Oryzias latipes: one gene and its partners. The protein of the gene in region 1 binds, or shares a complex with, the protein of each later gene. Links are inferred from orthologs where the notes say so. Each region holds a gene or a part of one and is shown on either strand. Other genes may lie near its edges.

Region 1 (4,303 bases):
TACAACAATTTCTTGTCTTCAACCATTTTGACCATCTGTCCAATTGGGCTCCATGAATGGAATGAACTTAGCTGGAAGTAAGCTGGTCCTGCAGGGAAAAACCTGCTGCAGTTACCTTTACATCCATACAAGCATGAAAAAATTAACCTGTTTGATCCTGCAAGACACAAATTATATTTGTATTTTACTGTTGCAATTCTTTTCTTTGGAAATGAAGTCTGCAGTCGACACAAATTATAGGTCTTGTCCTGTGAAACCCACTTTACAAAGTGCAAAGTTAAATGATTGCCATCACACTGTAATGGGCCAGTGCTTCTAATGTGCAATGTGACGTTGTTCAACAGTAGATTTCATCAAAGCATTCCAGCCCTGCAGCACTGTACTCTGTAATGTACGCCCACAACATGCAGAAATGTTCCCCAGTGCAGACAGACATACATAGACCACACTAATCGAACACCGTGACCTCTCCAAAACCAGTGCTATGTAAGTATGAATGACACTGAGCTTTTTCCTAGTGCACAGGTCTAACTAAATAAAAAAATTGTAACTGTACAATTCAGTTTAAAAATGGATTTAATGTTTCAGCAATGCAATTGAATTAAAATTTACTTTATTAAAATAACAATTGTTAAAGTTTTATTTCAGCTTAGAAGAGAAAGAATACACAAATGATTACAAATTTCTAAAATATTTGATTTATCCCACCATTATTCAGTGACACCGGTCACCAGCAGATGAAACGTAGCTTTGTTTCAAACTGGATGAAGGGTTCAGTAGTTGAAAGAACAGTGTGCAACACTGCCCCCGTGAGGTCAAATGTGGAAGTGAGGCAGCTTCCCCCAATCTCACTCTGAGGTCAAATTATGAGAATTATCGAACACACGCGGATCTTTGGCTCATTGTCGCAACTTTATAGCACGTGTTAAGACGGTATGATAAAGTTTTATTCAAAAACATGTTTCAAACAGCAGCACAATTTGGTGGTTTTAGGGCAAAAAAACACATCAGTGTAATTTCTAAATCCCTTGTTAGAAAACTAACAAAGATGTATTCCTCAAAAGATAGAAACAAATGCGAACTACATTTTTAACATTTATTCTGAACTTTATGTATTAAAAATACAATTTAAAATTGATCATTATCTGTAAGCAAAAAAAAAAGCTTTAAAAAGTTCACAATGACGTTTTTTTTCAAATATGATTTTTTTTTAAACACATGAATTAAAGAAAGTGAAAAATTACAAATGTGGAGATTGGCAAACCTGTACAAATGTGGTATTTACGTCGCCCTAAGTATTAATTTTAGGAAACCGTCTAAAGTTGTCATCAATTATGTATGTAAATATTTAATAAATGTTTTTTCCGTTTGCATTATATATTGTATTTATGTCTACATTTTATTTTGTAATTTTTGTAAAATAATTTTTAAAAAAATAACGGGAGGGAGCGGTCAGAAAGACCGGAAGTACTTCTAGGTGCACTTCCTGTTGCAGCAGTAAAGATGTCTCCGTCCTTGTTTAATTTTGTCGATGTTAAAGACAAATTTACGGTGAGAGTTTGCAGGATGAGTTTTAATCATTAGGCATGCAAACACATAAATATATATACGGTGGATGTGATCAGAACGGTGATAACTTAAGTAGTTTTTTTAAATTAATTTTCTGTTTTGTTTTTCTACATTAGCTGTTAGCATAATGCTAACGTATTGAAAAGAGAGACGTTTTCTTTCGTATTATTCTCACATTTTCGTCCTCAGGTTGCTGCCAGACACGCCCTAACGGGTAAAACCTGCAAACCTTTGGTCACATCGTTTAACCAGATCCCTGGGAAGTAAGTCTACATCACTTCGACTTGTTATCAATTGTAATTTTTACCTATAACGAATCATTGACGTGTGTTTCAGTGAAACGGAAAAGAAAACAACTCTTGATCAGGCTTTGAGGGGCGTTCTTGGAGATCAGATTGTAAGCTGTTTCTTTAAAATTATCCAATGTTCTGCATTTGTACGCAAAGCTTAAAGGCTGATCGTTTCTTCTGTAGGTTGAGCAGAAGGCCAGCTGTGATGACTACCTGTCTCTCATCTACTTGAGCATCGATGCGGTCACAGAAGGTGTGATGCTAATGCAGAAAGTTGAACCGTGTCTTTTATTTAAATACAAATGAACAGGCCCTTTTTTTTTTAGCTGTTATTATTTTGACTTTAATATCTTGTTCATGTTTATATAGCAGAAATAGTCCATTTTAGCCACTCTTGTTTCGGAACTGTTGTGTTTCCGGGACGTTTACGGTACTCTATTTCAAAAGAAGTTAGTCTTAAAATCAAAACAGTGTAAAGTCTCGTCTTCAACCTTTTTTCTTCGGTGTTTTCTTGTTTTTGCAGGAATCTGCTCCGCTACAACGCCCTTCGTCCTGCTGGGAGACGTACTAGACTGCCTTCCACTCGATCTGTGCGACAAAATATTCTCTTTTGTCGAAGAGAACGTCTCCACTTGGAAATCTGTAAATAACTTACCCCCCCAAATGTGAAATATTGGTCTATCTGTCATGTAATATTAAATAGTATTTTTCCTTTTTTCCAGAACTCCTTCTACAGTGCAGGAAAAAACTATTTATTGAGGATGTGTAACGGTAAAATCTCCTCCATGTCTAATGTTATTCATCATTTCAAATTTGAGCAGTGAGTGACGAACTTTTCGGACCCTTTAGATCTTTTGAGGAGACTCTCCAAATCTCAGAACACGGTATTCTGCGGGCGAATCCAGCTGTTTCTTGCGCGCCTCTTCCCTCTGTCAGAAAAGTCAGGTGAGGACCCCAGCAGGGGGTTTGTTGTTCAGTTGTTGGGTGTTGACATCAAAGATGACATCTTAGATTGGAATTTTTTGTTTGTTTGTTTTTTTTCCCATCTAGGTCTTAACCTGCAGAGCCAGTTTAATTTGGAAAATGTAACAGTCTTCAACAAAAATGAACTAGAAAGCACTCTTGGCCAAAAGGTGGATTTTCTATACCTGAGGATTGATTCCAACAGTTTGGGTTGACTGATGACGGTTTTTTTTTCATGTTTTTCCAGAGCACAAATGAAAAGGAAGAAGGCATGGAGGTGGAAGAAGGAGAAATGGGGGAGGAGGATGCTCCTGCTCAGAGGTTTGTAGTAAAATGTTACCGATCCTCGTACAAACTTCTGATTTGCTCTTGACACCAAATGCTCCTCGGATTGAAAAGCTGTTCATCAAAATGTCGATTTCAGCTCCATTCCCATTGATTACAACTTGTACCGAAAGTTTTGGACGCTGCAGGACTACTTCAGGAATCCTGTGCAGTGCTATGACAAGTTTCTGTGGATGACGTTCCTGAAGGTAAAGTTCCTGAACTTCAGACGTATGCATGTGGCGAACCATAGCTAACCTCCTGGTCAGTTCTCAGATGAGACTCTAGCTGTGTTCAAGAGCTACAAGCTGGACGACATGCAGGCCTCCAAGAGGAAGCTGGATGAGCTGAGAGGATCTGATGGAGAACATGTTTACTTTGCCAAATTCCTCACCAGTGAGAAGGTGGGAAACTTTGTCTTTTATCAGCATACGTTTCTGTTAGAAGTCATTTTTAAAAGTATTAGATGTTTGTGGGGTCATGGGTCTGTTACCAGAGGGGGGAAAGGGTGGGCTTGTCTATGTTTTTAAGCCGCATAATGCAGGAGAAGCACTTTTCATGAGTAAATTGTGATCTGGATCTGACTGCTGACTGTTGTTCCTCTCCTCCTTCTTTCAGCTGATGGACTTGCAGCTCAGCGACAGTAATTTCAGACGCCACATCCTGCTGCAGTACCTCATCCTCTTCCAGTACCTGAAGGGCCAGGTCAAATTCAAAAGGTTCAACCTGAGCACAAATGTAACTCGACGTTGAAAAATCTGCATCGTCATGTTGGGGAAATAGAATCCTTTTTCATCTTTATCCTGCAGCTCCAGCTGTGTCCTTAATGACGACCAGACCACCTGGATCGAAGAGACGACTAAACTGGTTTATCAGGTCAGTTGAGGAGGAAAAATGGGGAAATCTTTTTATATTTATGAACTTTATAATTTATAGTTTTGAATGTAAACTGTTGAGGTCTTGAAAAGTCAAAGAAAAGGGGATGATGGAAGCCTTTTCTTTGGTTTTGTAGCTGCTGAAAGAAATCCCTCCTGATGGAGACAAGTTTGCCAGCATGGTGGAAGTGAGTCCACATCATATCCAACCGGTCAAGGTTTTGGGTCTCTGTACATTATTCTAACTTATATTTGTGTTTCAACAGCACATCCTCGACACAG
Region 2 (3,639 bases), on another chromosome or scaffold:
TTTTCAAAACCATAACACACTCCCACTTAAAATGTTTGGTTAAATCTAGGCATGAATATGTTAACCTCTGATTTCTAATTGGCAAACTGCTGAAAGTTTGTACTGTTTTCCTGTAAATCTAATATACGCGTGAACCTTTGTTAAATAACAAAACTCTATTTGCCCACACGGCTGGTGTTCTGGTGAGAAATAGAGCACATTAAGTTTCAAACAAGTTTCATTGTAATTTTCTAAGGTGTAGGAACAAACATGAAATCAGACCTGAATTGATCTGTCAGAAAAAAAACGAGGAAGTGGTGACCAAGAAAATATGTTGGCCAAATGAAAACCTGTTTAAATCTATAGTTGAAGCAGGTATTGTACCTATAACCGTACCAGTAACATTACTATTTATGAATTATTATAAATGGTGAAATTAAAGCTAGATAGAAATCTTTGTCCTCAATAGCCACTTAGTAGCTAAAGGTTCTTATAGAACAGAGGTCTGCAACCTGAGGCTCCGGAGTTACATGCAGCTCCTTTATGATTCCATTGTGGCTCTTTGGTTTTGAAAAAAAAACGCTAACGATTTGAGTTACTAATAATGTTTTGGGGTTGTTTTTTTTTTTTTTTAATTTATTTATTAAACTTTCTTTTATTTGGATTCTGCTCCAATGTTGTCATGTTAATATATGACTATAAAAGTAGAAAAGAACGAATATGCAGCAAAGTCTGACTGATAGAAAAGTCTATGTTTGACCTGACTTTCTTACATGTTTTATTCAAGTGAGTCTGTTGGAGGATTTAATTTGACATGAGGTTTATTTCGTTTGAAAGGAACCTATATATGCTGCTGTCAAAAGTAAAGGAAGTTAATATTTTAATAGAAAGAAAATGATAAAACTTTCATAATTCAATTATTTTAATATCTAAATGCTACATGGTAAAAATGAATGGTTTAATGGTAAAACAAAATATGTAATGTGCCATTCTCGATTGATAATTCAGCTTGCAATTTAAGCATTCAATCTAAAAAATGCATTTTAGAATTTAAAATTCAATGTGTAATGCTACAATGTAAGCTGACATTTTTAAAAGCAAAATGTTAAATAAAACAAAATCAATTGTATTCTAAACTGTCATTGGTTTTTAGTCCAATAATATTCTGCAATATAATAAAAGTTCAATTTTGCTGTTGAGTCTAAAAAGCACAAAAATGTGGGAAAAAAATTGCCACATTGAATGTCCACCAATAGGGGGCAGTAGAAAATGAAACCGCTGATTTTAACCTGGAAAAAGAATCTTGCTCTACCGGAAATAGTATTGCTCATTGCAAACATGGGGGCCGTAACAGATGGTAATTTGGTGGTTACTTCGTTTAATATAAAGTTTTATTAAAAATAAATAAAGTGTTTATGTGTTAAGTTATTGTATACAATAGCTTATTTCTAGAATGTAGCAGTGTTTACGCAATCAGTTGGGAGAACTGTGCAGCTAATTTATTGCCCTGCAGTGCTAGCTCAGATTAGCAGGTTGCAATCTAGCCTATAGTTTATCTTGTCTCTTTCGTTTCTGTTAAAGATGAAGTCATTCGGAAACGTCTTCTTATTGATGGCGACGGAGCCGGAGATGACCGCCGGATCAACCTGCTGCTTAAAAGCTTCACTAAATGGTGCAACTCGCCCGGGACTCCGGAGGAAGGGTCAGTGCTGAATGAATCTGAGTCTGAGCTGACGCATCAGAAGATTTACTTTCCAGATTTTAATGTGATTTAGCATTTACGAACAACTCTTCTTGCGAAAGAAAAGTCACATTAGTTAGTTCTTACGTTGTGTGTACAGGCAATTCCAAGCTAGTTTATCAAACTCCATAGAAGGTTAACGGGTCTCAGTTGCATGCAGTTATACTTACCCAAGGAGAAGAGTAACTGTCTTCTCTACAATCTATGGCAAGCAGAGTGTGACACACAGCACAATGTTTCAACTCTGACCATGCATTTCAAAAGGCTGTTTCTATACATTTCCATGATGTGTTTTTATATACCCGAAGAGTAGAATGGTGTCTTCCTTGTTAAATATGCAACAAAAAATCTCACTTTAATTCCTTGTGGTCTTGTGTTTGCGTGTAGATTCACACAGTACCAGCGGATGTTGGGCACTCTGGCTCAGTGTGAGTTTTCCATGGGAAAGACGTTGATGGTTTATGACATGAATCTTAGAGAAATGGAAAACTATGAGAAGATCTATTCAAATATAGGTGAGGTTTTATTGCTCTCGTCTGGAAGCATTTCTGTTTACAATATTAGATTTCATCTATATACCCCCCCCCCCACCCTCCCCCCATTGCAGAACAAAACATCACATCTGCACATGAGAAGATTGCAGAATGCAAAAAAGATATTCAGAGGGCAAAGAGGATACGAAAAAATCGCCAAGGCAAGGATATTTTGATATGGATTGCATATTTTATTTATTGTCCTTTTTCAATAACATCCTTGGAGTATTATAAATATGTTTGTATTTTTTCCAGAATATGATGCATTAGCCAAGGTAATCCAGCAGCATCCAGATAGGCATGAAACACTCAAGTAAGTGGCTCCGTTAATTCAGATTTTCGATTGCTTGTAAACAGCGTACAACAGTTTTGCTTCATTTTTATTTATTTATTTTCTTTCAGGCAGCTAGAGGCGCTTGACAAAGAGCTCCAACAACTGTCCCACATCAAAGAGAATGTGGATGCAAAGGTATATCCAAACAGAATTTATGCAGCTTCTGTGTATTTCGCTGATGATTTGATTTATTTTAAAGTTGTTGTTTTTTTCTATCAAATTTACTGTTCCACCATAGTTGGAGTTGAGGAAGAAGCAGTTCCACGTTCTTCTTACCACCATTCAGGAGCTACAACAGACACTTGAGAGTGAGCACTTTATTCTTAATGCCAACTGATTTTAAAATTGTTTCAAAAAGTTAAACTCAAAATTTGTCTTCTTTTAGATGATGAGAAGTCAGATATTGAAGATGCCAGTCAAGAGAGCCCTGCAGGGAACAGTGAATAACAGTGGAACAGAATGAAATGTTCTTAAATGAGTTTGGGTTTGTGAGACAGAATGCTTTTCGTATGTATTTTTGAATAAAATTCTCTTGATTCTGTCGCTCTGTCTGGTTTTCCCTTTTATTGTTTCAAATAAAAATAAAAAAATCAAAGTTCACAGACTGATAATAATTTCCCTCTATATATATGCCCAAATAAAACAATGAACATAAAAACATGCTCCACACTCGAGGTGATTATAACAATATATAAAAGGAAAACATCTGTGTGCCCATATAATGACTTTTGCTGCTGTAAGATAATCATTCCTGTTAGAAACAGCAGATTCTACTGGACTACCCAAACACAACAACTGAACATTTACACTAACATGTAATTTGGAGATGCAGAAAACAGATCCTTCAAAGTTTTTAGAACTCTACTAGGTATGCACGGGCCTGCAAAAGGCGCTTAAGGCGATTCTGCAAAGTAGCCCTCTTACTGCCGATGTCAAAGTCCTCCTTCAGCAGGAAATCCAAGTTCTCCTTGTCCTGAATCATCTGCAGCATCTCTCTCTGGAGCTGGCTGGCTGATTGTTGCAGCATTTCATAACGGATCACCAGGGGGATT
Region 3 (3,733 bases), on another chromosome or scaffold:
AGTCTGGGATGTCCGTAACTATGGCAACAAAAACCTGGAACAAAAATGCTGGTGTGTTTCTGACTGAAACGTAGCAAAAGCCAAAACGTTTGACCGTAGATTCAAACACGATCCTGAAGTCAGGACAGGAAGTTCGGCTCTTACTGAGATCTGGGAAACGACCGAGTTAGAGGCACAGAAATATGCAAATAGATCCACATTTTTTGGGTGGAATGACACACAGCTCCCATTTTGCATGAATGTTGTCTACATTTTCTGCTGAATTTGAGCAAACATGGTCCTGCTAATGTTTCACAAGAGTCGGCTCCATTATGGCTAACGATCGACCTTCATGCAGACGTGAGGGACGATTGTCTCACGTCAGTCACCATGAGTTTCCATGAGGTTCCAGACCCAAACCAGACGAGAAGAATTTGACCCTAGAAGCTGCTGGAAAACCTCAGTCAGAGTGAGATCACCTGTGCAGGTAAAACCCTGCAGCTTTGACCCGCCCCCCCCCCCCCCCCCCCCCCCCCCCCCCCCCCTCTGATGGGGGAATTGAACCCTCACACTGATTTTCTGCATCCAGTTTCCATGTTTTTAAACCGGAATTTTCACACCTGAAATAAACTGCAGTTCAGATCAAACCAAACAGTCTTTGTCTTTTTCATTGGTGAATTATTAGCAGAAGTAAGTAATGAAGTCACTTTTTAAAACACGTCTACATTTTACAGATTATTTTACGGTCTGCCTTATTTGTTTGTACTAAATAAAAGCACATATCATATGAAGTATTAGTTATTTTTGACCTGATGATGTCAGCACCACCTTTGCAATTTTCTTTCATCTCTGGAATCTAAAATCAGGGAAAAGAAAAATCCTGTCAGTGACACAAAAAGTGTTTTATTTGAAGAATACTGTCATTTCTTTGTGACACTTTAGTTCCAAAATGCTCCAAAAATATGAGAATATGTCTATGTTTAATGCCTGTAAAGATAAGATTAATTATCTTAAATAATAAATATTTTATCTTTATTTATTTATTATCAATGGGGAAATTATCTGGATCATCTGGTTTTTCTATTTTCAAAAGTCTTTTCCCATAATTCCAGTTGATCCAAGAATTTCCCAAAAAGTAACAATAGTTCAAAGATCTGTCTTCAGTAACGCGTCAACTCACTGGTCGATGAGTAAACTGCACGCGCGGTCCTCCGGCCAGCAGGGGGCCCTCGCGCTCTCCTCTAAAAACCATACGTCACACAGTGGGACCAAGATGGCGTCGCAGTACTATCAGGAGATGCAGGAGAGCTTCAGAAATAACAGCAAAAGTCGGGAGTTTCCGGCTCATTCGGCGAAAGTTCACTCGGTGGCGTGGAGCTGCGACGGCCGGAGGCTGGCGTCCGGGTCTTTCGACAAAACCGCGAGCGTTTTCGTCCTGGAAAAGGACCGCTTGGTGAGAAACCGGCTCGTTTTCTGCTAGCATGCTAGCTTTAGCACAAAGACAGACGCGCGTGCCAAACTCCTTGGAAGGTTATTTAAAAACAGAGAAGTGATGGATTCAGAGGAGAAGGCGGTGTTTTGTCACTGTGGATCGCCCTTAAAAAGTCAAAATAAAACTAAAGTAATAATAAAAACTATTAAAAAAAAAGAAGCAGCTGATGTTTCCAGCTGGGAGTTACTTGAAGGGGAAAATATTCACCTCAAGTCATGAAATGTTCCGTCAGCTTCTTTAATCCATCATCTTAGTTGATGCACATCTGAGGTTCTGAAGCTAGTGAGGTTCTGGGTTTGAATCCTGACTCTGAGTTTGCATCAGGAAGCTGAAGTCTTCCAACTTTCATGTTTCTGTGTTGGACAAAGACTTCAGCGGTGGAGGAGGAAGACCCACTGCAGCATAAATGTTAACTCATACCGTTTTAGAACGGTACTAAACGTTTAATGGCCACCAACCACTGAAGTGCGTCTTCTCCCCAGGTCAAGGACAACAACTACAGGGGTCACGGCGACAGCGTGGATCAGCTGTGCTGGCATCCCAACAACCCGGACCTGTTTGTTACGGCGTCCGGAGACAAAACCATCCGCATCTGGGACGTCCGCACCACCAAGTGCATCGCCACCGTAAACACAAAGGGTAACCGGGACGGATCTGAAGACCCGGAACGATGTCGAGGAACGTTTTAACGTCTGAACTGACTTTGTTTCCAGGTGAAAACATCAACATCTGCTGGAGTCCAGACGGCCAGACCATCGCCGTCGGGAACAAGGACGACGTGGTGACCTTCATCGACGCAAAGACGCACCGCTCCAGGGCGGAGGAGCAGTTCAAGTTCGAGGTGAACGAGATCTCCTGGAACAACGACAACGACATGTTCTTCCTGACCAACGGCAACGGCTGCATCAACATCCTGAGGTCAGAGCGCCACTGTCGCATGCCGACCCGCGCCCACCGGTCACATTGAAATAAAAACAGGTTCTGGTGCTGCGCAGTTACCCGGAGCTGAAGCCCATCCAGTCCATCAACGCTCACCCGTCCAACTGCATCTGCATCAAGTTCGACCCCACGGGGAAGTACTTCGCCACGGGAAGCGCCGACGCGCTGGTCAGCCTGTGGGACGTGGAGGAGCTGGTGTGCGTGCGCTGCTTCTCCAGGTGGGTTGAGCCGCCGAGGGTCCGGCGTTTGCTGCGAGCTTTGTTCGAGTCTCTGCTCTGCTGCAGGCTGGACTGGCCGGTGAGGACGCTGAGCTTCAGCCACGACGGCAAGATGTTGGCTTCAGCGTCGGAGGATCACTTCATCGACATCGCGGAGGTGGAAACGGGTCAGTAAACCTGCAGCCGCACAGGCGGTGAAGATCCCGCCCACTCGGCTGTCACTCAAAGCCCATCTCTCCTCCACCCTACAGGGGAGAAGCTGTGGGAGGTGCAGTGTGACTCCCCCACCTTCACCGTCGCCTGGCACCCAAAGAGACCCCTGCTGGCCTACGCCTGCGACGACAAGGAGGGCAAGTACGACAACAACCGCGAGGCGGGGACGGTCAAGCTCTTTGGCCTTCCCAACGACTCCTAAGGGGGGCTGCGGGCGCTCTGCAGTAACGTCCCGTCTCCAGCAGAGGGAGCTCCTCACTCACCCCCTTTTATTTTGTACTGTACAGCTGTAAAATACTTTTTTATAATAAAATCATTTTTAACCTGCAGAAAAACTTAAAACTGTTTCTGATTTTACATTGAGTTTAACTTATGCTTGAACTGAGCTGCAACTATCGGAATAAATATTTTAGTATTTGACTAAAATGATAAATTATAGAAATGTGTATCGGAGTAAGATGCTGGAGAAAATACTATAGATAGAAAAACAGTTCCTCCTGTGCTGGGACACTTCAGTTATACGTGTGGGTTGAATTTCACGGATTTGGTCCTTTATTTTGACCATAATTAACCCTTGTGCTATCTTAGATGACCCCCCCTCCCATTGACATGTTCTCCCTACCATGACAAAGGTGGATAAAGGTGGAAAGATTTCATGTAATCCATGGACACCAGTGAAGATCACAAATCATTGAAGAAAAAAGATTCAGAGCACTGTCGGTGGGTCTAGATCAGTGTTTTTCAACCTTTTCTGAGCCACGGCACACTTTAACCTTAAAAAAAATCCCGCGGCACACCAGCATCCAAAAATTTTAAAAAAGAAGGATAAACTCATAGTCTGTATTGATCTACAGCCCCTCCACAATCTCACATGCATTTTTGAGATAATTGT
Region 4 (4,065 bases), on another chromosome or scaffold:
TTGTGGTGTTGATGTTGTGTTGTTGTGTGTTGTTGTGTTCATGTTGTTTGTGTTGGTTTGTGGTGTTGATGTTGTGTGTTTGCAGTGTTGATGTTGTTGTGTGTTTGTTGTGTTGATGTTGTTGTGTGTTTGTGGTGTTGATGTTGTGTTTCTGTGGTGTTGTGTGTTTGTTGTGTTGATGTTGTTGTGGGTTTGTGGTGTTGATGTTGTGTTTCTGTGGTGTTGTGTGTTTGTTGTGTTGATGTTGTTGTGGGTTTGTGGTATTGGTGTTGTGTGTTTGCAGTGTTGATGTTGTTGTGTGTTTGTGGTGTTGATGTTGTGTTTCTGTGGTTTTGTTGTGTGTTTGTTGTGTTGATGTTGTTGTGGGTTTGTGGTATTGGTGTTGTGTGTTTGCAGTGTTGATGTTGTTGTGTGTTTGTTGTGTTGATGTTGTTGTGTATTTGTGGTGTTGATGTTGTGTTTCTGTGGTGTTGTTGTGTGTTTGTTGTGTTGATGTTGTTGTGTGTTTGTTGTGTTGATGTTGTTGTGTGTTTGTGGTGTTGATGTTGTGTTTCTGTGGTGTTGTTGTGTGTTTGTTGTGTTGATGTTGTTGTGGGTTTGTGGTATTGGTGTTGTGTGTTTGCAGTGTTGATGTTGTGTTTCTGTGGTGTTGTTGTGTGTTTGTGGTGTTGTGCTTTTTGATGTGGAGTTGGTGGAGGAGGACAGGTGGTTAGTGAGGTGCCCCCCCAGGAACCTGTGGACCTTCTCCACAGCAGCATTTATGTCTTTTCTATGAGACGCTTAATGTGTGCAGAGAAGTGGGTCAGGGTTTGAGACGGGTAAAAAGGCTTTTTTGTATTTGTAGCCTTTGTTGGTGTTGAAGAAAAAAATAAAAGAAAGCAGACATACTTTGTGGAGTCCGTGTGAACTTCCTAACCAATGCTTTCAATCCCAATATTTGAAACAGTTTAAAGCTCAGGTTCTGATCTTCTGCTGCAGCAGAACCGTTTGTGGAGTACTGAGATTTTGCGGCTCTGACTCGGTTTTGTCGGTAAGAAACTGGATCAAATGGATCTGTCAGAGGTTGCAGGTTCAGCTGTTGAATCAATAAAATCCTTCTAAGTACACACACTCACGCACACACACTCACGCACACCCACACTCACGCACACACCCACCCACACACACACTCACACACACACACACGCACACAGCAGCTGATTAGAAAAAGCTCAACTGTTCCTGCTGAGCCATCAGGTCAGAAATCTTTGTCACACCACTACAACTCCCAGCATGCCGTGCGTTCCTGTGACGTCATATTCTCGAGCCAGAGGTTTTCGCGCCTTGTGCGCCGCTAGGTTTATTGTCTGGAAGTTCAGTGTTGTTCGGTTCTGGGGGTTCCAGGTCGGCGGCAGGATGGGACCGGTCGAGGTGAGTTACCCGAACACGGACTCGGTTCGCGCGCACAGAATCCCGGTGTCACTTTTATCGAACCGAGCCTGAAGTCCGTCCACGGAGGAGGAGACTCAGACAGACGGCTTCATCATCCGAACCCCGCTCAGGTTCCGTTTCCGCTGGCGAATAAACCGTAAAGGAATACGGAGCCACAGAACCACAAAGTCCAATACCTGATCCAGAACCTTCATTCTGAACAGAACATCAGTAAAAACATTTGGTAGAAAAACCGCAGCGACTTCAGCCAAACGCAGCAAACTGATATTAATGGAGGCTTTATTTATGACACATCCCCTGGGGGGGAGGGGGGGGGGGTGTTACATCATGCTTCACGGTACACGCGTCCCGGTAAAGCGCTAATTAACTGGAGAGAAATTCAGGTTCGAGTCCCACTCAGGCTTCCTCGTCCATAGTATAACATGTTTATAAAGCTCCATATGGCTGTGATGGTCATGAACATCATAACCAACAATAATCCACCGACAGTCACCTTAGAACGAGCTGAATGACCAGACATGCAATCTAATGAATACATTTGTACATCAAATAACTCGGCTGATATTAGCGCTTTACCGTCTTTGTGGACCAGAAACCAGGATGTAAACATTTTACGCTAAAACTCAGTGACGGCTGGCCGGACCGCACTTCACCAGACCACGGTCTGGTTCCGATTCAATGTGACTGAGAAAAGAACCAAAGTTCTGGATGAGTAGCTGCTGTTCTGGATGTTCTAACCGGACTCTGGTTCCGCCCCCAGCTGCTCCACATGTCCGTCTTCTCTCAGAGCTTCTCTCCCTGCGGACGCTTCCTGGCGGCCGGGAACAACTACGGGGAGATCGGCCTGTTCAGGTGAGCGAAACGAGCGCCGCCGTGCACGGGCGGGCGGGCGCGCACGGCGGCGCTCTCAGCTGTGTCTCCGTCTCCAGTTTGTCAGCAGCTCTCAGCCCAGATGCCGGTGCCGCCAGCCTCAAACCGGTCCTGACATTCACAGGTGAGTCCGTCCGGCTGGACCGGGTCCAGGAGAAGGTTCTTCCGGTGATCGTGGTCCGGGTCCGGCAGAAGGTTCTAGTTGAACGTTGGGTCTCGTCCTGCAGCTCACGAGGGTCCAGTCTTCAGCCTTCTGTCGGCGGACGGCGTCCTGCTGAGTGCTGGAAACGGCGAGGTCAGCGCCTGGAGCTGGACCGAGCTCAGCAAGAAGGTGAGGCTCCTCGGAACCAGAACCCCAGTCCTCCTGGACCTCCAGGTGACCTCCTGCCCTTTGTCCTCAGAGCGTAAAGCCCCTGTGGAGCAAGAGACCCACTTACAGGTGAGAACACGCACACACAGACACACACAGACACACAAAGAGACGCACACACAGACGCACACGAAGAGACGCACACACAGACACACACAGACACACACAGAGACGCACACACACATAGACACACACACACAGACGCACACAAAGAGACGCACACACAGACGCACACACACAGACGCACACACACAGACGCACACAAAGAGACGCACACACAGACGCACACACACAGACGCACACAAAGAGACGCACACACAGACGCACACACAGACGCACACACAGACGCACACACAGACGCACACAGAGACGCACACAGAGACGCACACAGAGACGCACACAGAGACGCACACAGAGACGCACACACAGACGCACACACAGACGCACACACAGACGCACACACACAGACGCACCCACACAGACGCACACAAAGAGACGCACACAAAGAGACGCACACACAGACGCACACACAGACGCACACACACAGACGCACACACAGACGCACACAGAGACGCACACAGAGACGCACACAGAGACGCACACAGAGACGCACACAGAGACGCACCCACACAGACGCACCCACACAGACGCACCCACACAGACGCACACACACAGACGCACACACAGACGCACCCACACAGACGCACACACACAGACGCACACAGAGACGCACCCACACAGACGCACCCACACAGAGACGCACCCACACAGACGCACACACAGACGCACACACAGAGACGCACACACAGAGACGCACACACAGAGACGCACACACAGAGACGCACACAGAGACGCACACAGAGACGCACACAGAGACGCACACAGAGACGCACACACACAGACGCACACACAGACGCACACACAGACACACAGACGCACACACACAGACGCACACACACAGACGCGCACACAGACGCACACACAGACGCACACACAGACGCACACACACACAGACGCACACACACACAGACGCACACACACAGACGCACACACACAGACGCACACACACAGACGCACACACACAGACGCACACATAGACGCACACACAGACGCGCACACACAGACGCACACACACAGATGCACACACAGAGACGCACACCCAGACGCACACCCAGACGCACACACAGACGCACATACACAGACGCACATACAGACGCGCACACACAGACGCGCACACACAGACGCGCACACACAGACGCGCACACACAGACGCGCACACACAGACGCGCACACACAGACGCACACATAGACGCACACATAGACGCACACACAGACCCACACACAGACGCACACACACAGACGCACACACACAGACGCACACCCAGACGCACACC

What was found.
Region 2: the proteins of thoc1 (region 1) and thoc7 are in contact, whole or in part, in a cryo-EM structure (PDB 7APK), measured with the Homo sapiens proteins. The link is inferred for Oryzias latipes from reciprocal best matches to the Homo sapiens genes THOC1 and THOC7. Residues at the interface, in NP_005122.2 of Homo sapiens: Leu10, Arg14, Glu46, Gln53, Arg56, Glu60, Ile63, Ile64, Asp99, Asp102, Cys103, Leu104, Pro105, Arg146, Gln151; in NP_079351.2 of Homo sapiens: Tyr47, Gln51, Leu54, Ser55, Ser58, Gln59, Phe62, Gly65, Lys66, Leu69, Val70, Met73, Arg76, Glu77, Asn80, Ile84, Ile88.
Region 3: thoc1 (region 1) and thoc3 share a complex: the UniProt entries of both Homo sapiens proteins name them as parts of the transcription/export (TREX) complex. The link is inferred for Oryzias latipes from reciprocal best matches to the Homo sapiens genes THOC1 and THOC3.
Region 4: the proteins of thoc1 (region 1) and thoc6 are in contact, whole or in part, in a cryo-EM structure (PDB 7APK), measured with the Homo sapiens proteins. The link is inferred for Oryzias latipes from reciprocal best matches to the Homo sapiens genes THOC1 and THOC6. Residues at the interface, in NP_005122.2 of Homo sapiens: Ser227, Pro229, Ile230, Asp231, Tyr232, Leu234, Arg236, Val270, Ser273, Tyr274, Asp309, Leu312; in NP_001334633.1 of Homo sapiens: Leu57, Ser58, Ser59, Glu60, Pro312, Glu313, Lys315, Thr330, Asn331, Gly333, Tyr334, Ala336.

Annotation. Positions count from the first base shown.
Region 1 is NC_019875.2:28,356,286-28,360,588, forward strand, and holds the start of thoc1 (THO complex subunit 1), read left to right. Parts: upstream 1-1,467; 5' UTR 1,468-1,503; coding exon 1,504-1,551; intron 1,552-1,758; coding exon 1,759-1,832; intron 1,833-1,905; coding exon 1,906-1,966; intron 1,967-2,042; coding exon 2,043-2,112; intron 2,113-2,382; coding exon 2,383-2,501; intron 2,502-2,581; coding exon 2,582-2,630; intron 2,631-2,708; coding exon 2,709-2,804; intron 2,805-2,909; coding exon 2,910-2,992; intron 2,993-3,069; coding exon 3,070-3,143; intron 3,144-3,246; coding exon 3,247-3,355; intron 3,356-3,415; coding exon 3,416-3,550; intron 3,551-3,764; coding exon 3,765-3,865; intron 3,866-3,955; coding exon 3,956-4,022; intron 4,023-4,158; coding exon 4,159-4,209; intron 4,210-4,287; coding exon 4,288-4,303. UniProt on the Homo sapiens protein: Component of the THO subcomplex of the TREX complex which is thought to couple mRNA transcription, processing and nuclear export, and which specifically associates with spliced mRNA and not with unspliced pre-mRNA.
Region 2 is NC_019863.2:16,703,335-16,706,973, forward strand, and holds thoc7 (THO complex subunit 7 homolog), read left to right. Parts: upstream 1-1,228; 5' UTR 1,229-1,248; coding exon 1,249-1,336; intron 1,337-1,560; coding exon 1,561-1,681; intron 1,682-2,107; coding exon 2,108-2,235; intron 2,236-2,327; coding exon 2,328-2,414; intron 2,415-2,508; coding exon 2,509-2,566; intron 2,567-2,655; coding exon 2,656-2,722; intron 2,723-2,825; coding exon 2,826-2,895; exon of another isoform or gene 2,896-2,972; coding exon 2,973-3,034; 3' UTR 3,035-3,130; downstream 3,131-3,639. Other genes in the region: interferon-induced GTP-binding protein Mx, read right to left, coding at 3,441-3,639. UniProt on the Homo sapiens protein: Component of the THO subcomplex of the TREX complex which is thought to couple mRNA transcription, processing and nuclear export, and which specifically associates with spliced mRNA and not with unspliced pre-mRNA.
Region 3 is NC_019868.2:29,382,741-29,386,473, reverse strand, and holds thoc3 (THO complex subunit 3), read left to right. Parts: upstream 1-1,217; 5' UTR 1,218-1,252; coding exon 1,253-1,432; intron 1,433-1,953; coding exon 1,954-2,110; intron 2,111-2,184; coding exon 2,185-2,389; intron 2,390-2,466; coding exon 2,467-2,628; intron 2,629-2,694; coding exon 2,695-2,795; intron 2,796-2,879; coding exon 2,880-3,043; 3' UTR 3,044-3,183; downstream 3,184-3,733. UniProt on the Homo sapiens protein: Component of the THO subcomplex of the TREX complex which is thought to couple mRNA transcription, processing and nuclear export, and which specifically associates with spliced mRNA and not with unspliced pre-mRNA.
Region 4 is NC_019866.2:289,636-293,700, reverse strand, and holds the start of thoc6 (THO complex subunit 6 homolog), read left to right. Parts: upstream 1-1,257; 5' UTR 1,258-1,272; coding exon 1,273-1,410; intron 1,411-2,191; coding exon 2,192-2,283; intron 2,284-2,360; coding exon 2,361-2,425; intron 2,426-2,528; coding exon 2,529-2,632; intron 2,633-2,702; coding exon 2,703-2,740; intron 2,741-4,065. UniProt on the Homo sapiens protein: Component of the THO subcomplex of the TREX complex which is thought to couple mRNA transcription, processing and nuclear export, and which specifically associates with spliced mRNA and not with unspliced pre-mRNA.